3 linked regions of the Saccharomyces cerevisiae S288C genome follow. The gene in region 1 interacts genetically with each later gene. Each region holds a gene or a part of one and is shown in the gene's direction. Other genes may lie near its edges.

The links.
Region 2: mutations in POT1 (region 1) and PNS1 together harm fitness more than expected from each alone (negative genetic interaction), as found in Saccharomyces cerevisiae (2 studies listed by BioGRID).
Region 3: mutations in POT1 (region 1) and MEC3 together harm fitness more than expected from each alone (negative genetic interaction), as found in Saccharomyces cerevisiae (2 studies listed by BioGRID).

What each region holds. Positions count from the first base shown.
Region 1 is NC_001141.2:37,763-45,239, reverse strand, and holds POT1 (acetyl-CoA C-acyltransferase), read left to right. Parts: upstream 1-3,795; coding exon 3,796-5,049; downstream 5,050-7,477. Other genes in the region: formin BNR1, read right to left, coding at 1-3,415; SMU2 (Smu2p), read right to left, coding at 5,100-5,807; beta-fructofuranosidase SUC2, read right to left, coding at 6,257-7,477. UniProt on the Saccharomyces cerevisiae protein: Responsible for the thiolytic cleavage of straight chain 3-keto fatty acyl-CoAs (3-oxoacyl-CoAs).
Region 2 is NC_001147.6:635,145-642,823, reverse strand, and holds PNS1 (Pns1p), read left to right. Parts: upstream 1-4,265; coding exon 4,266-5,885; downstream 5,886-7,679. Other genes in the region: polyphosphatase DDP1, read right to left, coding at 1-83; YRR1 (Yrr1p), read left to right, coding at 832-3,264; YOR161C-C (uncharacterized protein), read left to right, coding at 3,557-3,703; mRNA transport regulator MTR10, read right to left, coding at 6,067-7,679. UniProt on the Saccharomyces cerevisiae protein: Probably involved in transport through the plasma membrane.
Region 3 is NC_001144.5:710,568-718,246, reverse strand, and holds MEC3 (Mec3p), read left to right. Parts: upstream 1-3,342; coding exon 3,343-4,767; downstream 4,768-7,679. Other genes in the region: ubiquinone biosynthesis protein COQ11, read left to right, coding at 269-1,102; GTPase GUF1, read right to left, coding at 1,221-3,158; 40S ribosomal protein eS30 RPS30A, read left to right, coding at 5,089-5,091, 5,522-5,710; YLR287C (uncharacterized protein), read left to right, coding at 6,189-7,256. UniProt on the Saccharomyces cerevisiae protein: Component of the checkpoint clamp complex involved in the surveillance mechanism that allows the DNA repair pathways to act to restore the integrity of the DNA prior to DNA synthesis or separation of the replicated chromosomes.

The sequences.
Region 1 (7,477 bases):
TTTCAATAAAATGCAAAAATGATACATTTTGATCAATACTGGATCTGACAAAGGCAAGTTTAGTCAATGACTTCAATTTGATACCCTTAACAATTCTTTTATTCATATGATTGCCTATTTCCGTGATAATAAACATCAAACTTTTAAATTTAGGTGAACGATTTAAGTGTGAAATTGCATCATCAATTTTTTGTAACTTGAAAATCAAATCGTAATAATCTCTCTCGTATGTTGACAATGTCAGCAGACTCTTTGATCTTGCATTCCAATAAAATCTTAAATTGATACACAACTCCAAAAATATTCTGTCAGCTCTTTGTAAGTCACTTACTGCTTTACCATCCTTACCCTGTGAATATGGCTCGTACTTATTAAGCATACTTTTTGGTATATTTACTAACTCTTCTTTACAAAAAAATTTCAGTATGTTAACATTTTGGACAATGTCGTTATCACAGTTCAATACTTTCATAACAAATTCCATATCAGATAATTGGGAAAACATGTGTAAATTAATACCAAATTGCTGAGCCAAATCTCTTGATAAGAATGAAATTTTCTTCAGCTCATTGGAAGACTTGCCATTGTTTGAAGACAAGGCAATTGAGGATTCTGCGTTCCTTTTATTTGCAATCTTAGTCGGACTTTTCATCTTAAAAATATCTTCAATCTGAGAGAATATACCATCAGTTTGTAATTCTTTGATTGTTTCTTGGCGTTGAAACGTGTCTTCCCAAAGTGTGTCTTTGATATCCTCCACCTTATCCCAGTGGATTTGCTTCAATCGCTTTTCAGTTGGAGGTGGTTTTAAATCGGTTGTCGTTGGATTGATAGACACTGAGGAGGAAGAAAGAAGACCATTTGGTAAAGGTGGAGCTGGAGGAGTAACTAAATCGTGATTGGAGGGGCCTTTGTTCATCGACAAGGACTCGGGTAAAGGCGGTGGCGGTGGTGGTGGTGGAACGGCGCCACAAGTTTTAGTTTTAAATAGATCTGGAAGGGGTGGCGGTGCAGGTGCTGCAATACAGGAAACACCATCCGGTTTAGCTTCTGCTTCAGTCAAAAGAGACTGTGGAAGTGGAGGAGGGGGAGGTGGAGGAGGGGGCGGTGGAAGTTGAGGTAGTTTAACAACTTCAGGTACTAGTTGGATTCCATTATCAAGACTATCTGAGGAAAGTCGAGGGAAAAGTTTTGGTGAAGAAGAAACCGAAGACAACACGGGAGACGATTGGTAATTAGGTTGTGTTCCTAGGCTATTTGAAAATTCCAACTCTGAAAGTATCGAATTTAGAGAGACATTTTGCATATTAGTAATATTTTTCATAGAAGGGATATTAAAATTAATGGTTGACGTAGATCTTTGAAATAATGAGTCTTTTGATTTATCTTCGGATTCATTTTGGGACTCATTTTCGTTATTTGCATCAGTTAAATATGATGAAAGGGACGTAACTCTTTTACTTTTTAGTAGACTAGTTGAACGCTTGGGCAGAGAAATTTTTTGCTGCTGCTGTTGCTTTTTTGCTAAATTTTGGAAAATGATATTTCCATGACTATTATTTTTTATTATCGAGCCGGCAATACTCAAGTTGCTACTTGCCAATGAAGGTGGCTGGTCATATAACCTTTGATGCGTGGTAATTTGGTCTAGTCTTTTCTTGGTTGCCTTCAACTGCAGTTTCAGATTTTCAATTTCCTTGGTTTTCAGAGATATCAAAGATTCACTTTCATCTAGTTTTGCTATTAAATGATCTTTATCATGATTTTCTACTAAATTTAATTTTTCATTCAAATGAGAAATCTTAGCATTAAGATCATCAATTTCTGTGACCGCTCTTCTAGCAATTTCATCAGATTGTAGAGAATCCAACAATTTATTAACAGAATCTTGAAAAACATAATCCACATTTTCTGCGGACTCCAAGGTTTCATCAAAAGAAGGATTCGTTGACACTTGAAAGGAATCTATGAGATAAAACAGCAAAGAATTTATCAATTTTAATAGTTTAATAGATTCTGAGTATGGTTTTTGAGAGTCTAAGATTTTCCACAGCGATTGAATAATCTCGTTTATTGGTGCCTCTACGGGACTATCTTTTGCCTTCAATAACAGGCAATTTTCAAGACATAGAGGCTCGCTTTCTATTCTTGCGATATCTTTTGTTGGGTGAAGCGAATTCGTATCGTTGGTAGTTTTTATCATCGAGTCAAATATCGCAGATTCTTTGGATTTGAATTGTTTTATTTGTTCCATGATCACGACACTATTAGGATCATCTTTATAGGCCAGTTCTAAAAATGTGATAGTGTTATGTATATTATTCTTTTTCAAAAAATTCAAAATTTCTAGTGCAGTCTTGTTGTTGAAACCTTGCAGTATGGAGTTTATTAGCAGTAGGAAAGTTGTCGAATAGTCTATTTTTAATTGGTTCCAGTTCAAATAAAGGGATGAATGAATTGCAATATCATCCGCAAGGATTTTGTCAAACCATTCTAGCCAATCGGTGAATAATATGGAAAGCTGGTCCCATATCAACTCACAACCCGTGGAACCCTCAACATACGTTAATAATAAAAGTAACTCCATAGAAAGTAACTGACATTTCAAATTAGAATTTTGATCCGTCAGAAGCTCGGTGAACCAGCGAATTAAAGGCTCAGAATGTAGTGCTCTTATTCTCGCCAGTGGGTTGTTCATCAGTATTTTAAAGCACCGAAGATAAACAAATTGTAATTCCTTGGATATGAGTGGCAAAGTCTTTTCGATCAATGTCGTCAAGTAAATTTCATCCTTGAGAAAAAGTTGCAAAAAGCTTTGCTTTCGCAGGAATTTTTCTAGTTTATATAGAGCCTTCGATAACTTCATGCCACCTGTTGAAAGGTTTCTAACTAGGCCATCCAAAAAGTGTGCGTTTTCAGCTAGTTCATTAGTGGCCAAATGTGTAGAGTATGTCGTGCTCGAAGTCACTTTCTTTTTCCCCCAATGATTGGAACTACGGATTTTACATATCAATAACCATTTCCTTCGTAGAGAGATGTTTTGTAAATTCTTATAAGCAGCCCCCCAAAAAAAAGTTCCATCTTTTAAAAGCTCATCAAACATTCTTTCGACGAGTGATGCGTCCTGAGGCATGCACTTCGGATTAAAATCCATTTCCGATCCGTTCACTTCTTCGGAAACCATTGGTGACGAAGAAACGTCATTAGCTGAGAAATTCTTCTGTTTCATGTATATATGTGATCCTGTACCTTGTTTCTCTAACGCTACACCGACCAACTGCAAGCCAGCGGCAACCAGCCCATCGTTCAAATTCAATTCTTCCAATTTACGGGCTTCGCTGACCCTATCACGCGCGTGAAGTGACAGCGATCTGCGAGGGTAGCGGTACGTCTTCTTGTTCGGGGAAGAGTCCATCGCTGATGATTGTGCTATTTTTTTATCTGCTTTTGTGTCACGATCATCATCACTATGTAATCTTCAAAAGATCAAGAATTTGCTAGTTTTGAACCTATGCCACAAATAGCGAAAAAAGAAAAAAAACTTGACGCGTCAACATGAGGAGGGTAATGATGTGGTAGCGCCGTGTAAGGCGCTATCAAAGGGAAACGGGGATAATAGTATTAACACCGCAGCTTTTTTTTCCTTTCTCCCTCTATTGGTTTCAAATTTATTGGAGTTTTACTAGAAAGAAGAGATATAAATAGGGTATACTTTTGCATCTCAGTTCTATTGAAATCGAATGGTTATTTCTTGTGGCTCTGAGTACAGAGTGAATATAACACTACATAAAAGCAATGTCTCAAAGACTACAAAGTATCAAGGATCATTTGGTGGAGAGCGCCATGGGTAAGGGTGAATCGAAGAGGAAGAACTCGTTGCTGGAGAAAAGACCCGAAGATGTAGTTATTGTGGCTGCTAACAGGTCTGCCATCGGTAAAGGTTTTAAAGGTGCCTTCAAAGATGTAAACACAGACTACTTATTATACAACTTTCTCAATGAGTTCATCGGGAGGTTTCCGGAACCTTTGAGGGCTGATTTGAACTTAATCGAAGAAGTTGCCTGTGGAAATGTTCTCAATGTTGGAGCCGGTGCTACAGAACACAGGGCTGCATGCTTGGCAAGTGGGATTCCCTACTCGACGCCATTTGTCGCTTTAAACAGACAATGTTCTTCAGGTTTAACGGCGGTGAACGATATTGCCAACAAGATTAAGGTTGGGCAAATTGATATTGGTTTGGCGCTGGGAGTGGAATCAATGACCAATAACTACAAAAACGTCAATCCCTTGGGCATGATCTCCTCTGAAGAGCTGCAAAAAAACCGAGAAGCGAAGAAATGTCTAATACCAATGGGCATTACTAATGAGAATGTTGCCGCTAATTTCAAGATCAGTAGAAAGGATCAAGACGAGTTCGCTGCGAATTCATATCAAAAAGCTTACAAGGCGAAAAATGAGGGGCTTTTCGAAGATGAAATTTTACCTATAAAATTACCAGATGGCTCAATTTGCCAGTCGGACGAAGGGCCACGCCCTAACGTCACTGCGGAGTCGCTTTCAAGCATCAGGCCTGCCTTTATCAAAGACAGAGGAACCACAACTGCGGGCAATGCATCCCAGGTCTCCGATGGTGTGGCAGGTGTCTTGTTAGCCCGCAGGTCCGTAGCCAACCAGTTAAATCTGCCTGTGCTAGGTCGCTACATCGATTTTCAAACAGTGGGGGTTCCCCCTGAAATCATGGGTGTGGGCCCTGCATACGCCATACCAAAAGTCCTGGAAGCTACTGGCTTGCAAGTCCAAGATATCGATATTTTTGAAATAAATGAAGCATTCGCGGCCCAAGCATTATACTGCATCCATAAACTGGGCATCGATTTGAATAAAGTAAATCCAAGAGGTGGTGCAATCGCGTTAGGCCATCCCTTGGGTTGTACTGGCGCAAGGCAAGTAGCTACCATACTAAGAGAACTGAAAAAGGATCAAATCGGGGTTGTTAGTATGTGTATCGGTACTGGTATGGGTGCCGCCGCCATCTTTATTAAAGAATAGTTTTAATACTTGATAATAGTTAATATTCTCCCTTTTTATTATGCTCATATTTATATGGTTTTGTAAAAGCTATTACGTAGTTTATCAATTTGTTTATAATTTTCCATTTTCAATATTTCTAACTCACTAACCAAATAGTTTATTTGAGATAATATCCTCCAGTCCTCCTTAACCAATTGACGGGCTTTCCAGTTGAAATTCGCTATCACGGTGTCCATGTAAGAGGAAACTTCTTCATTACTTTTCATCGTTAGTTTTATTGGGGCCTTTGGATAATCCAAAGGTATGTTGAATAAAATTTTCAAAGAAATCTTACCGGAGTCTGTCATGGGGGAGATTCGATAGCCATATGAGGTAACGTGCTTACCCTTTTTAAACAGTTTAAAATCGGATAAGGTGTGAATGCATTGTTCGATTTCTTCTTGCCTTTTTGCGATTTGTTTTCGCTCTTCTACATTAATTTCCTTTGAGTAGTGTAGGGTATTCTTTTTATTAGCTCCATTATTGTTTTTCCGCCTTCTGTTTTTCGCTTGAGATTTCTCGACTCTCACTTCTTCCCCTCCAGTCACAGGTTTAGGTTCATTTTGTTCCTTTGTCTCTGTCTTCTTATTTCTGTTTCGATTTTTATTCCGCTTTTTATTTCCATTTTTAGCTTTATTTGTGCTCTCCTCATTCCCGATTGGAGTTCCTTCGTTTCCCAAACCAGAAGCTTTTCCCTGAGATTTTTTAGCTCCTGTTACAGATAGCTTGGTATCCATTTCCCTCACTACTTCTTTTTGAGAACACTTTTACGTAGAAGACAACGCTTTTTTTTTTTACAATATGGTATACTTCTACTTAATGCTTTTAAATTTTCACATAACTAATACTTTACCCGGTTTCATTGTGTCAGTAACAAAACAGATAAAGGCAAAAAGGTCCATCCTAGTAGTGTAAGGCAACTACATTACGATTGTGGGTTTATTACGTGAAAAAATGATGTCTATTGCAAAGTAGTAAAAATTTTTAAGAGAATTATACTTATATAAAGTACATAAAGAACAAATTCCAGGTAACTGGGGTCGGGAGAAAATAAAAATAAAAATACATTTTCAATGGTTTGGAGGTATTCTTTGAAATCATAAAGTTTTACATTCGTCACTCGTTAGCTAAAGCCCTTTAGAATGGCTTTTGAAAAAAATAAAAAAGACAATAAGTTTTATAACCTCTATTTTACTTCCCTTACTTGGAACTTGTCAATGTAGAACAAATTATCGACACCAGTGGTCATGTTCACAGATCCTAGAGCGTTACCGGTGGTCATGAAGTAGGTATTTGTAGAAACCACATCTCCATCGTTGAAGTACAATTCCAAGATGTTTTGATCCAGTAGGCCGTACACTTTATAGTAACTTAGGTCGTTCTCAGACTTGAATGGTTGGTTGTTGACAGACATTCTGTTTGTGAAATATGGGTTCTCCTTGACAAACTTGACCTTAGAGTTACCACGGTCCAAAAAGAAGGAAGAAGCACTGACTTCAAAACCCATTCTCAAATATTCTTCAGGATCTTCTAAACCCTTGAACCAAAGTGATAAGTCGGCAAAGACGGATTTGGATATGGTTTGTGTGGTGTTAACAGCGTAAACCAACTCAAACTCTAGGGTACCAGTCGAGTTGCTCAAATCGACATTGTAAGAATTGGCCTTAGTTAGAGTTGTGTTAGTAGCAAAACGAGACCAGGGACCAGCATTACTAATGTTCAATATTGGTTCGGCTTTCAAATTGATCAATTCAGTCTCTGGATTAGCTTGATATTCAGTGTTCAAAGAAAACTTGCGGACCAAAGACATGGATGATCTCCATGGGTTAGTTGGGACAAAGGCACTGTACTCCCAGTTTGAAGCCCAGGCAATACCTAATGCTGAACCGTAGGTTGGGTCAGTGTTGAAGAAAGTTTGCAAGGCATAGTAGTCCTTACCAAAATCTACCACTCTAGATTGATTGTCAAACGCTTCAAAATGAGTACCATTGAAGGATCCAACAAAATATTGGTTGAAGGAACCGCCAGCAGGTGCACCTGGGTTGATAGAAATAAACATGACCCAATAAGATTTGGAAGGATCTTGCTCAGTTGGGACTTCAATCAAACCTGGACATTCGTATTGGTAGCCTAAGAAACCTTCATTGGCAAATGCAGATTCTAGCTTCCAGGACTTCAAGTCATCAGAGGAGTAAATTTCAATTTTGTAGTCTTGTGATTTGGCAGCCGTCATAATCCATTTTTGAGAAGGTTCATACCAGAACACCTTTGGATCTCTGAATTGAGTGGAGTTGGCAGCTAAAACAGGGTTCTTTTGGTATTCAGTAAAAGTGTAACCACCATCAAGAGAATAGCTAATGTATTGCTCTTCACTTTCAGGAGTGTTATAAGTCCAAATCGCAACGCA
Region 2 (7,679 bases), on another chromosome or scaffold:
ACGGGTGAGTAAACCTGGTTTTCTCTTCCTTCACGTGCTGTCTCAGAACGTACTGGACCATGATTATCCGCGGTTTTGCCCATTTTGTGTTTCCCCACGCTCTTATACTCCTACGTACTCACTGTTCCTGACCTTTCAGGCGTTATTTCAGTGTGATTTCATGTCTTAAAGTTGAGGCTTCCCTTTACACTATTTACCTCCGCGAGACGTTTGAGAATTAAGCCGCACGTGCTCGCCGCAGATGTTCTTTCAACGACAAGAGAACACCATGCTCCTACTATTTACGCATTATTTACACAGTATACCTTTCTGATGATGAAGTTTGAAGGTTTAAATTCTGGGCAGTAGCTGTTTTTACGGTTGTCTCAATATTTCTCATTCTGCTTTATAATCACGGGAGTATGACAGCATTACCAATCTCTATCAAGATGAAGAAAGATGAGCATGATCGTTTTAAGCTCACATGGAAGCTGTAGTTATTACCAGTATATCCTCTTTATATATAGCGAATGTAGATTTCTGCCAGTATCATACTGGCAGAAATCATAGTGAACGGAGTTAAATCCGCGGAAATTAGAAAAACGTTAAAAGGTTCCATGCCATATTACTAATGGGGTAGAGGCTGATATACGGGGAAAAGGATAACAATACCAAGACATTTATAGTATTCCACATCACTAGACGTATGTAATAGACAACTTCCCCTTGGAATTACCAAAACGCCAAAAATTCGGAATTACAAGAGAAAAGTTAGATCAAAGGAACAACAAGATCAACGAGAAAGTGGGAAAGTTTATTGCCCTCAGCCGTGCCAATAAGAATAGCGTCACAATGAAAAGAAGAAGCGATGCTTTGTTGGGAAGTTTCCAGGCCACCAACGTTACGCCGCCAAGCGATAATAGTAATAGTACGGCCGGTGGAGCCAATGGAAGTAACTCAGGAACACCAACTTCTACTAGCGGTAAGAAGAGAAACAAGCTTATAAAATCTTGTGGCTTTTGCAGAAGGAGAAAACTTCGTTGTGATCAGCAAAAACCTATGTGTTCTACATGCATTTCTAGAAACTTAACAACCTGTCAATATGCTGAAGAATTCAACAAAAACATCGAAAAGAAAGCTACCTATGGTCCCTATCCTAACGCCGATTTACTTAAGAAAGTTGAAGAACTAGAAAACAAAATACGTATTCTAGAAGCTGAAAAAAACACTAATTCGTCTGCGAGCTCCATGTACACTTCGCCAAATTTCCCTCCTTTAGGCACTAGTGTAGGTAGAGGTTCTACTGAAACTTCATCTCCATTACCCGATGGTGTAATAAATCCATATGCCGACCGGTACTACCTACAAAGTAAACATTCCGGAAGATCAACACTATACGGCCCCACTTCTATGAGAACCCAAATTGCAAATAGTAATTGGGGGTTCATTGAAAAATATAAACAATTATGGGCGAAGGTTAAAGTAGAAAGAAATAAATGGAAGCAAAACAACCAAAAAACGATGTGCAGGGAACTAGGCCTTTTGGATGAGTCGGATTGGCAGCCAGATCCATTAATCAAACAGATATGTCGTTTCCTACCATCATATAACAAAGCTTTGTCTATTTTAGATGATTTCTTTAATGATGGAGCATGCAATGAGATCAACGTGATTCTTGATAAGGCAAAAGTTAGAAGAGACTTTTTAGATTATTTCATGCCCGAAAAAGAGGTAAAGGCGGAAGGTGACAGATCCATAGTTTATATTTTATCCAATCCAAAGAAAAATTATTACAAAGCTGCTGTGATACTATTAATCCTATGTCTGAAATACTTCCATACAGATGTCCCAACCCCAATTGAGAAGTTCTTTACTTTACTAAAGGGGGCCTCCACCGCTAAGGTGTTCTACATTGAGCGTGCACAAATGTTAATACTTTTCTACTACCATCGTGAAACATATTCATTCGGTGGAGATGGCTCCGATTTGGTTAATATAAATGAATGTTTAGTTACTACGGTTACTACAATAGGGTTGCATTTAAACATTAGAGAAACTTTCAAGGAACATGAGGTTTTTATGGGTAGCATCGAAAGTTTAGAAAATGTCTGGTTAATGGCAATATTTATCGATTATAACATATCTTGTAACGTTGGTAGACCCTTATTGATTAACAAATTTTATCTAGACGAAAACCAAGATCATTGCATATTGAATAGTAAAAGTAAAACATATGAGGGGAAGCTGAAAAGATATTTAAAACTTACAAGGCCAATGTTGTTAACTCTTTATGATAGAGATAAATTCCCGGATTTGAAAGCTTATTCCAAGCGAATTATCAATTTTGTAGAAGAAGAACTTGGTCCACTTGGACATTACACAGGTGAAAATATATCGGAAGAAGTTCCATTAAGGGAAAGTAGAATTTTAAGTATGGCAGTCGGACTATTATTGTCGTTTTATGCACTAATACATTCTGTGCTGAAAGTCAGAAACATAGAATCCAAAAATAATACGTTTCAATTGGTTTTGATCAATTTTTCCATCATTGTGAATACCACAATTCGATGCTATCGTATCGACAAAGCACTTTACCCAGAGAAATTCGAAGCCTCCAACCCGCACTTACCGCCACATATGGCGTTATCAATGAGCCTCACGGCAGGGCTTTTTTCCAAAACATTGGTGTTTTTTTGTTCTCTGATCTACTTTAAGTTGACGCTTTTCGAAAATGGACTATGTCTATCCAACGATATGGAAGTTGGATGGTCGGATTTGACGAAATTGACTGTTCCTTTAGACAAGGATCTATCTTTAGGTACAGCAATGAGCTTGTACTCGTCAATCTTCGATCGCTTGTTCACGGTCGGAAATAAAGAATTAATACGCACAATGCATAGATCATCACAATTTGTGATAGAGCTAGCTATTGAAAGGACCTATAGGACTATTCTTGGCAACGTTATTGAATTCAGAAAGTTGACCGAGGAAACATGGCTAGCACAAATCAAACAAGAACTAGATCCGCAGAGCGATAATCCATCATCAGAAGCTAAAATTGTGAGTGATAGGCAGCGGGATCTCAGCCTTGCAGTTCCAACGCCCACGCCCTCAATAATTCCAATGTTACCCTCGCCTGGTGAAACTAAGAACCATGCAAAGAGTCAATCAGAGATCATTCAGATGCTGACAGATGAATTTTGGGCAAATTATAACTCAGGCTGGGAAGAGTTGATTAATCAATCTGAATTTTCCACTCTTTTCGATGATTACAAAGACAATTAATGCTAAGTCGAGGCAATCTCGCGGCGCGACTACTTTGAAGCCTTTTTTTAGTTCTTTTTTATGATCAAAATGTTTATATAATTACCCAGATTATCAACCCACTTCGATGATGGGCCGCACCTGACAGAAAAAAATGAATCAACTGGCTACTAAAGATGGTACAAAAGTTCACTTTATTCAGATATAGAATTGCTGAATCGCTGCTTACCGCCATACGCTTGACTACTTTTACACCCGTACACCACACATACAACCGTACGACTACTTTTCATGCAACAGCGTGCGTTTCGACATGTCTTACACACGAGTAGATCATCCCACTGGAAAAATGGCTTGTCACCTGAGGCAGATTTTGGCAAGCCCACTGTTTTTCGCAAATTATGTACTACATGCAGCCATTCACTACCCTTCGAGCGACATACGCGGCGACATCCTGTAGAGCAATGTTGTCCTTACCAAGACGTCTTGATGAAGGATAAGCATACGCGAAGAGATTTCCTCTCGGAGAGCCTGCAGGGAGCGGCGCACCTCGCCAGCGGAGTTATCACACGTAATGGTACTGAGTGAGAGACCCCGCCCGACACCGCACGGCCATTTGCAGAAAGAAAAACAAAGTCCACTACGGCTAATTACTGCAGAATGCTTTTTTTTCTTTTTTTTTGTGGTTGGTATGTTCCCTTCTAACAGGATTCTTCCTTCGGTAGATCCTTGAGGGGTTTAAGGGGTTTTCTGTTTGCGTAATGGCGTAATTGCCAGCTATATATAACATTATCATCACATATATATCCTTATACGTAGCTTGCCCTTATATATATATTGATATGCGGATATTCGTTGAATGTAGTTCAGTCGTAATCGCTACTTATTGGTAATCATAGCAATTGAATGCTTCTATATTCCTTTCTTACTTTTTTTAATTGCGCATTATAAAAAACTTGAAGGTGCATATTTCCGATTAGGGCCATCAATAGTGACCATAATTATCGGTACATTAATACGTCATGCCATTGAATGAAAAATACGAGAGGCCTCCGCAACCTCCTCCAGCATATGATCCCAACCATAGGCCGCCCAGTTCTTCCGAGAACTCTGCCGCGGCGAATGTCAACGATGGCCAGACGCCGTACCATTTTAGACAGGATCAATATTACAATCTAAATTCCAAAACGAGTGGGGCTCCTATAGGGAGCTTCGACGAGGCCTTTCCTACTGAAAATGACAACAAGCCCAGGTGGAACGATTGGCCATTTACCATTTTTTTCCTATGCACGGTAGGCGGATTCATCGCCATTGCTGCCATAACCTTAAGAGCGTGGTCCCAAACCTATAGCAGTACGGGTTCCGGAATATACGATGGTGTGAATACTGGTACGCTGAACACCAATGCTGCCATCCTGCTAGTTTTCGTGTGCATTATTGCCCTAGTATTCTCCGTTTTGGGCCTCACACTTTGTCGAATTTTTCCGAAGCAGTTTATATATTGCGGTATGGTCATCAACCTAGTGGCTTCTCTTGGGACTGCCATCATGTACATGTCTTTGAGGTACTGGTCTGCAGGTATTGTGTTTTTAGTCTTCACGTTCATGACCGCGTGGTGCTACTGGGGTATGAGGTCTAGAATTCCCCTTTCTGTGGCGGTATTGAAAGTCGTCGTCGATGCCATGAAGAAATGCCCACAGATCTTCTTTGTTTCATTTGTTGGAGCGCTAGTTGCTAGTGCGTTTGGGTTTCTCTTCTCAGCAGTCATTGTGGCTACGTACATAAAGTACGATCCTAATAGCTCGAATGGCGGCTGTGACGTTTCTGGTGGCAGCTGTTCGCATTCCAAATTGATTGGTGTTTTGGTTGTGGTTTTTTTCTGCGGCTATTATATCTCTGAAGTAATAAGAAACGTCATACATTGTGTTATTTCTGGCGTCTTTGGCAGCTGGTATTATATGTCAAAGTCTGACCAAGGAATGCCAAGGTGGCCCGCATTTGGAGCATTGAAGAGAGCCATGACTTACTCGTTCGGTTCCATTTGCTTTGGGTCCTTGCTAGTCGCTTTGATCGACCTGTTGAGACAAATATTGCAAATGATCAGACACGATGTTACCTCCAGCGGTGGCGGTCAAATTGCCATCCAGATTTTGTTTATGGTGTTTGACTGGATTATCGGCTTTCTGAAGTGGCTCGCCGAGTATTTCAATCATTATGCATACTCGTTCATCGCTCTTTATGGTAAACCGTATTTAAGAGCGGCCAAAGAAACCTGGTATATGTTAAGAGAAAAGGGAATGGACGCCCTAATCAATGATAATTTAATTAACATTGCACTGGGTCTATTTTCAATGTTTGCTAGTTATATGACCGCTTTGTTCACGTTCTTGTATCTAAGGTTTACCTCGCCTCAATACAATTCGAACGGCGCTTACAACGGCGCCCTAATGGCATTCTCATTTGTTATTGCTTTACAGATTTGCAACATTGCAACAGAAGCCATTAGATCCGGTACTGCAACTTTCTTTGTTGCTCTTGGTAATGACCCGGAGGTCTTCCATCATTCTTACCCTCATAGGTTTGATGAGATTTTTAGGGCATATCCTGATGTACTCAGAAAATTGAGTCACCAGAATGTGTGAAGAGATGTTTATCATATGTCACTATTTCTCCTTGTTCTTCTTAACAATTCTATATTTAATTACAATATTTTAATACTTAATTTTTTCTACTTCAATTACCTTTAAGTTCTATCTTTATTAAATTGTTTATTTTGTTTTTATACATTCTGTGCAGATTAACAATATGCTATTTATTAAATGACTATTCAAACCTCGAATTGATATTCTTTCTTGAATACCATCCAACAAACGCCCTAATTCCTTCCCTCACCTTTCTGTAATCCTTTGAATTCAACCCCTCAACCACGGCCTTCGCCAAATTATCTCTTTCATTAAGGGTTACTTGGCCAAGTTGTTCCACCACTTTGTAAATCCAATCGATGCAAATAGTGGCATCGTTGTTGTTTGCCTCTGTCAATATCCTTAAACATTTTACAATACAACTGATGGCATCTGAATGAGCGGTGTTTTCAAAAGTAGTAACCAGCCCGATGAATAACACTAATATCAATTGGTTACCGTGGGCTATCACGACTTCGTTAATAACTTGCTTCCTCCATTCATCTGGAACAATCTCGATGGACACTGTTGAGATCGGTGGAGTCTTGAACCCCCAGGATATGATATCATCTAAGCAACGCAAGATACATATGTAAGCATCGTAGTTATCAAGCTTATTAACACACTCGAGGGCAACATTCAGTACGGGGCCTAGAAGCTCTGTTGAATTCAAAAATGCGCCAGGATAAAACATTATCAAGTCTGAAATTAATGAGAAAAAATCGATTATTGCCTCATGATAATCGTTTAATTGAAGTTTATCAAACTTGTTGAAATTCAGTATGAACGTCTCGCATTGGGAGAGGGCAAATTTCCAGACAGCATCTTTCAGACTCGGGGATATGGGGAATGATTCATCGTCACCAAATATAACAATAAGGGAACCAGAACACCACAGATAGGAACCGAATCCAGTCGTTAAATAACCTTGGATTAGAAATTCGGCAACAGAAGGTAATATTGGCTCGCAAAATACATGAAATCTCTCAAAAATTCTGCGTAGCAATTTAGCTACTCTTTCTACGATAATACTATCAGTCATTGCACCTGCATCAACTAGCAGAGTTCTTAATGCCTTCCAAATAAATTCTATCCTGGGGAGTAAAGGTTCCGATCCTTGCTGAGGATAATTGTATCTCGGTTTCAATTCTTCAAAAAGCGCATATAGCAAATCAATCTTATCAGCAATCTGTGGAGCCAAGAGCGTTGGATTTGCTTTCCATTGAGGAATCAAAGCCTCGATTTGTCGCAAATTATCATCTACGAGCTTTTGAAATATTACTGAAACTTTGGCCTCTGGCTGATTATTTATTACTGCACTTAATCCTTGACATAGTTCAAATTGTGACTCAATATCAATCGAACTCTGCACGTTGAGGAAGAAATTAATCAACTGATCAATATACCCAACTAATAGTTTAGAGCAGTCCGAACAGAAGAACATTAATGCATGTGATGATGCAGTGATTATACTTTGCATATCCGATGAACCCTCATGCAGTTGAAAACCGTTAAAAATATATTGCAATTGAACTTCTAGTAGTTCTGGATGCTTGGCTGTCCATTCGGTATATCTACCAAGAACTAATGTTGATGCATACCTAATCTTGGCCTGCTCTGGAAGGTTACAAATGATTTTAATGATTTCTGGCAATATAGTGTTTTCAGTCAACGAAATTTCTTTAGCCATAGTCCTCAGGGAAAATAATGGGGCTTCCATTATTTGCCAGCTATTGTTGTTTTCTATTGCGGACT
Region 3 (7,679 bases), on another chromosome or scaffold:
TTAATTATTAGTATATAATCAGAATATTTACGTATCCTTGAATATGTTAAAAGACTAATACATAAAGAGCATCTTAGCATTAACTTTTTACTTCTCTACAAAGTCTGGCAATTTGACTCATTTTTTTTTTTTAGTTGAGTGTCTCCTCGTAATGCCATCTTGTCGCTTTTGCATAATAGAAAAACAGGAAAACATTGAAAAAATAAAAAAATAAGGGAAATATGTATCGTATACAAAAATACAGCTAAAGCTTGAACTGAAGTAGAAAATGATACCAAAGCTTATAGTTTTTGGAGGCAATGGATTTTTAGGTAAAAGAATTTGTCAAGAAGCAGTGACTTCGGGCTACCAAGTCGTTTCTGTGTCAAGGTCCGGTAAAGCTCCTCATAGCAATGAATTAAATGATAAGCAATGGATGCAGGAGGTCCAATGGACCGCTGCTGACATTTTTAAGCCTGATTCTTACCATGAATTATTGAATAATGCTACTAACGTAGTTCATTCTTTGGGAATCCTCCTAGAAAATGAAAATTATAAGCAAACTCTATCCAAATCCCCTACATATGATTCAAAATCACGCCTTCTATCTTTTGGTGCAGGTCCAAATCCTTTAAAAAAAAGCAGTCCTTATTTTACTTATGAAATGATGAATAAGCAAAGTGCTATTATTTTGGCAGATACATTTAAACAAAAAATCCTAAAGAAAAGCAAAAAGGAGCAAGAAAAAGCAAATCAAAGATCTTTTACGTATATTTCCGCCGATAAAGGTTTCCCATTGATTCCTAGTGGCTATATTAATTCGAAAAGAGAGGCGGAGATTGAACTAGAAAAAATGCAGAGATATTTCAGGCCTATTATTGTGAGACCCGGTTTTATGTTCGATGAGCACAGAAATGCAATTGGACCACGGTCTTTTATTCATACTGCACTTGAACTACTTTACTGCGGTAACAAATTTCTATTGAGAAATAAGCTGCAGCTTTTGAACGACTTGATTAGGCCAACAGTATCCACTCAGCAGGTAAGCAAATCCGTCCTGAAAAATATCGAAAACCCAGATTTTAAAGGGGTAGTTACACTTGAGGAAATACTTAAAGCATAATGATTATGCCATTATTATATTTATTAATCTATTTTTCTCTTTTATTTACAAATGAAAAGTACTTAACTATATACAGCTTGGTATAATTTTAAAATGGTAATAACAATAATATGCAATGCTAACGGCGCAAAAAAGCCTGATATGCCTCTTGGTTGATTTGAATATTACCTACAGTTTTCATATGCTTTTTACCCTCTTTCTGTTTCGCCAAAAGTTTTTTCCTTCGTGAGACATCAGAAGCATGCAGCTTTTGGAGAACATCTTTTCTTCTTGCCTTAATTGTTTCTCTAGCTATTATCTTGTTATTAGCTCGGGCCTGTATAACGACCTCATATAATTGTGATTTAACATACTCTTTAAACTTCTTCACCCATTCTCTACCCACTCTCTCTACTTCCGATTTATGAAGTACTCTTGACAAGGCATCAATCGCATTTCCATTAACCAAGAGTTGCAGTTTTACAACATCAGAAATTCTATAGCCAGCATCCTCATAATCTAAAGAGGCAAATCCTCTGGACACCGATTTTAATTTACCAAAAAAGTCATCAACTAGATGCGATAGCGGAAGGTAATATTTTAACATCACTTGTCCATTGGTGTTTAGGTATGTTATATCAATTTGTTCTCCTCTATTACTATCGCATAAGCGTATGACACTACCTAAATATTCCTGGGGCAATGTCATAACTGCCTCTATAAACGGTTCATGGAAAGCAGCAACGTTCACCCTCTTTGTTGCTCCGTCTGGAAACTCATCCGGATTTGTTATAAGCTTTTTCTTACCATCGGTAAACTCCACCAAATAAGGAACTGTGGGTTGAGTAATGATCAATTTCGAACCATACTCTTTTTCTAGTCGTTCACGAAAAACAGATGCATGTAAAGATCCTAAAAAGCCCAATCTCCAACCTTGACCCAAAGCATTGGAGGTCTCACGTTCCAAAGTAACTGACCTATCGTTGAGGACAAGTCTACTCATATCATCATCCATGGCTTTGAATTCAATCCCATCAGCCGGGAAAGCACCCACAAATACCATGGGTTTTTGTTCTTCAAATCCGGGAAGTACTTCCGTTTCATTTACTTTACTTAAATGCATTATAGTATCTCCAATTTTTGCTTCTTTAGAATCCTTCATTCCCAGCACTAGATAGCCAACCTGTCCTGTCTTTAGCGTACCTGTAGAGGTTCTGTCAGGATACATGATTCCAATATCTTTGACTTCGTATTTTTCTTTTGTCTGAGCACAAATAACCTTGTCATTTTTACGTACAGAACCATCAACAATATTCACTAGAAGAACCGCTCCTAAGTATGCGTCGTACCAAGAATCCACTAATAATGCTCTGAAGGGTTTATCAGGCCTCCCCGTTGGTGGTGGTATACGATCAATTATAGCCGGTAGTAACAGTTCCTCTACATTTAATCCTGTTTTAGCACTTACTCCGATTATATCTTCCTCGGGGAGCTCAAAGTTATTCACTATCTGATCCTTTACCTGTTTAACATCTGTAAAATTTAGATCAATTTTGTTTATTACTGGAATTAATTTCAATCCTAAACTGAAGGCTAAATAAAAATTAGCAACCGTCTGTGCTTGTATGCCTTGTGATGCATCAACCAAAAGAATTGCTCCCCCACAAGACGCATATGACCGTGAAACTTCACCTCTGAAGTCCACATGTCCTGGCGTGTCAATTAAATGTAAAAGATAGTTTTTTCCGGTCCTCTTATCTTTATAAAACATCGAACATGTTTGCGCCTTTATAGTAATACCTCTTTCTCTTTCGACTTCCAATTTATCCAAAACTTGTTTATTTCTCGCATTGGGATCGATGACATGCGTTATTTCCAGCAGTCTGTCACTTAAGGTTGACTTCCCATGGTCAACATGGGCAACTATAGAGAAATTTCTGTAATTTTCGAGAGGTATTTGCTCGATCTGTGCTTGTAACTTCTGTGCAGGGGTAGTCGTATGGTTATATCGTAAGAAATATGCGTGTCGTTTATAACACCGTATATGTCTCACTGGCCTAATTCTAAATTTCAGCATTTTTATGTGCAACTAGTTTCCCATATTCATGGCTCTTTTTCAATGGTTGCGGCTACAAATATAGGCGAGTTATACTTGCCCTCGTCTATTATTCAACTTTTTTATTTACATCAAAATAGCAACATAAACATACGGAGATGATGAGAGAAAAAAGAAGACAAAAGGTGTGTCTTAATTCAGTTAAATGAAATTAAAATTGATAGTAAATGGTTGTGAAGCACCTGATGATTATAAATTGCTAAGAACTACTATCAATACAGTTGCTTCGCTACGAAAGACGGCTATCTTAAGATTTAATAGTGAAAGATTGACAATAATATCCACTCCAAAATCATCACTCAACAGCAGTAACAACGGTACAATATTACGAGGGGATACTGGTCAGCTTTGGTGTACCATTCCTCATGATGTATTCAGATTATATACAGTTATATCAGCTCGCGAGCTCAATACAATAACAATGGAGTGTAATTGTGATTCTTTATTGAGTGTGTTTAAAAGGTATGATCGAGTAATGAACCAAGGATCTTCCTCTAATATGACTATAAAACTACAGTCAATGCCAGAATGGAATACAAATAACGGAACACTTTCAGGAGGAACAGCAGGAGGCGTAGATACAACCTCAAAACCGAACCCCATTTGTGCTCTAGGTATAACATTCGAAGAAATTGTACATACTAGCGGCCCAAATGACGCTATAGTTATGAATGGGGGAGTGGATGAGCACAATGGTTTACCAACCACAGTAGGCACAGGAAATCTACTCGCAAGCAATAAGGTTATCATGCATTCGTTCAAAGTACCTGTCAAACTATTATTCCGAGCACAAGATACGCGAATACAAGAGCCAATGATTAACTATATTCAACTGATGATGTACAAGCTGCCACCAATATCGGGCGAGTTTGGCTCCGCCTTCCACGGGTTTATTAGACGTGTTGAACGGTACAGTAATGTCAACCACATTCATTTAATGGGAGTCAAAAAAAAGGAGCATGGAAATGAAGGTGATGATGTAGAACTTAAGATAATTGTGAATGAATTAGATTGGCATTTGGAAATATGCTGGAATGGACCCTTAGACTCTGTGATACAACGCCAAGAAGGGCTCACTGACAATCCTTCCCAAAACCAGCACATCGACACAGACGGCCGGCAGGAGGAAGGATCTCTTCCGATTATCGAAGCGGATAAACCGATGTCTTCACTATATACCAATACTAGAGATCGAGAGATGGAAGAAAATATCCGCTACGATGAAGATTTATTAAGAATTGAGGATAGCTCGATCGCAGATACGCGGGGAAACATTTACACAGCTGATACTAGCGGTGATACTGAATTTAATGACATATCCGTTATGGTGGAAAAGGCTGAACAGGAAAGTTCGTCCACACATGAAGTAATCATCCGTTGCAAAGATTGGAAGGTGTGTTCCAAGTTATACGCTGCATTTGAAGAAGTTGTTTTGGCGATTTCTCACGACGAATCCTGCGTATTCCACTGTTCGTTGGATCGTGGTAGCTTGGAAGATAGCGAAGATGTGGAAAAACCAAGGGAAAGAGGACAAATCATATATTATATAGCAAGATCGAAGGGCTTGTAAACCCTACAGCGGTACATTTCTTTGCTACGTTGCTAAGGAAACTCTTTAAATCTGACATGGCTGAGAACTGCAGAGTTGCAGAGTTGCAGACTATCACATCCGTACATATGTATAAAAAAATCCGTGCTTTACATACTAACTGCTTTTCTTTTTTCCGTTCGAAAAAAAAAAATGTCGTGAGGTTGTCGGAAACCTCAGAAAAAATAGATAGAACAAAACAGCCTTACGAACGGTATGTTGCATTTTAAAGGCTACATGAACTGCACATTAAATTTGCCACTGTAATAATCTTCCATATCCCCATACAAAAACTACGCAAATATGGTACGTAATGCCTCATTAGGATTTTAAAATATGAAAAAAATGGACGTTTCAGCGAGGAATGAATAACAAGAAATAGCTAATTTGAATATATTACTGGTGTTTCATATCTATATATACCGCAGAAAAAGAAATAAAACGCAATATATCTTTAAACTGGCTCCACCCTGAGAATATGATAGGAAACTTTTTAAATTTGAGTTCTGTTACATCAAAAACGTAATTGCTTGACACAGATTTTTCGAGGGCAACAGCGTGGACTTAACATAATGTCGAGTTTAATAACAACATTTTTTGACGGAGAGTTAAAAAGGCTTTGAGAAAATAGCAGAGTGAAGTTTATTTTTAGCATCCTTGCTGATACGCCAAATAATTCAAAAATTCACTATACTAACATGGTCATTAATTTTTAATATTAATATTATTTATTTAGGCTAAAGTTCATGGTTCTCTAGCTCGTGCTGGTAAAGTCAAGTCTCAAACACCAAAGGTTGAAAAAACCGAAAAGCCAAAGAAGCCTAAGGGTCGTGCTTACAAAAGATTATTGTACACCAGAAGATTCGTTAACGTTACCTTGGTTAACGGTAAGAGAAGAATGAACCCAGGTCCATCCGTCCAATAAGAAAATTAACAGTTGTGGAAAAGGAGCTTAAAAGTAACAAGAAACAAAATAGCAGTCATGCCATCTTTACTTCAAGATAGTTTTTGACTTGTATTTGTATTTCCGTTATGCGTTTTTTACTTTAAATATAAAGCAGTATTGAAATTATGTAAGTAGTGTTAACTATAAATTATTTCTTTAGGACTTTAACTTCGCAAAATTATGCTATTCATATTATCGATTTACTTCTTTGCTGTCTTGGTGTGATGCTTTTATTAATAAGGAGGATCTTGCCGTACCTAGGGTTGGCAAACGTTTTTCTAGTTGTTTTTGAATGGGCGCTTCATAATGTGGCAATGAAAAAAAAAAAACTAGAAAAAAACTGCAATGATCTTGACGATGACATGAAGCCTCCTTTTAACAAAATCCATTGAGGTCAACAAGCATCACCAGAGACGCCTATTATAAACTTTATAAGAGAAATACCAGTTATACAATAATGTCTACTGGAAGCAGTGATAGAAAGGATGACGTCAAATTATTGGAACTGCTGAATTCTATAGATGAACAGTTTTTAGTGCCATACAAAAAGCCGGAAGACTTGCGTAAAATCTCCTCTACTACCAAACTACAAGGTTCCACCCCAACTAAGGAACTAGACAAATTAGCCTCTGTATTGAAGGCACATTGCACAAAAATAGGTATTGTTTGCAAGCCAGGAACTTTTGATAACAATCATAAAGTTGTGATTACCGAAATCCAAAATTTTAGTAGGCCATTATTCTACTTACTAAGTTTATTCCCTTTGTTTTACAATAACAAGGATTGCCCCAAATACTTTACAGACCAACTGGATGAAAGTACGCTACAATTGCTCGATGGCTTGAGAGATTTCATTGCCGAATTACAAGAAAGATTGAAAAATGACGAAAATGCATCTCTAGACAAAGAAAGGTTAACCTCAGTTGGTAAAATATTCAATGCGTGCGATTCTCTCTCTAATTGTTCCAAGGCTGGACCTTATGGGATCCTAGCAAACATCTTAAAAGATAATGTGGCCATAATGGACGATACAATGAATGAAATAAAAGAGTGGCTTGAGGAACCCGATTTTTCAGCAAACTCGGACGATATATTTTTGGATTTTGAGGATTCAGAATCCGAATCTGATTCACAGAAAGAGGAATTTGACCAGGAAAAGGTCTATGAAAATATAAAGTTGTTTTTCGATGGGTTTACGAGGAAGATAAAGCTAATCAAATTACTTGTATCAACTTTCAGGAAAACTCTGGTGTCAAAAGATTTTACTCCTAAGAGGAATCAAGCAGAAACTTTAGACAGTATACATACATATCTGAAGGAAATACAGTTACTTTTGGATGAAGTGGTATCCACTGTACAATTTGAGCCGAAGAACTTTACCAATGAGGAGGTAAAAGAAGAACAGGCTGCATTAGTTGCAGTAACTAAAAAAGTTCTTATCCAAATGAGTAAACTATATGAAGGTGATCCAAAAAGAAAGAAATGGATTGACACATGGGAGATAAAATTCAATGAATTGTTTTAGTATATTTTCTCTGAATGTTACAGTGCATGGTATATAATCAGTCTTGTTTAGAAATTCATGCTAAAACGGATACAAGAGATATCATTGTGTAGCTGCGAGATCCACGGTCACGGCAAAAACCATGTCCATTAATATAGTGGTTGGTTGGTGGGAATATGTGGGATATCCTCAACAAAATCGAACTTATATACGTCATTCTCGTTAACAAATTCAAATTTTGTAGTTGTCATAGTAACGCAAAATGAGATGCGTGGGTGTGATTCCTGCTTGTTGGTATTTTTCTTTGCCGCTGGTGAAAAATTGGAAATGCTGGTCCCTTGAAAAAATAACCAGCCTCGCCTTAACAGATATGTGCGAGTAAATATGAGTTTCTAACGTGCAATGTTTGGTGTTTGTTTATTTGTTTATGTGTTTCAGATGTTG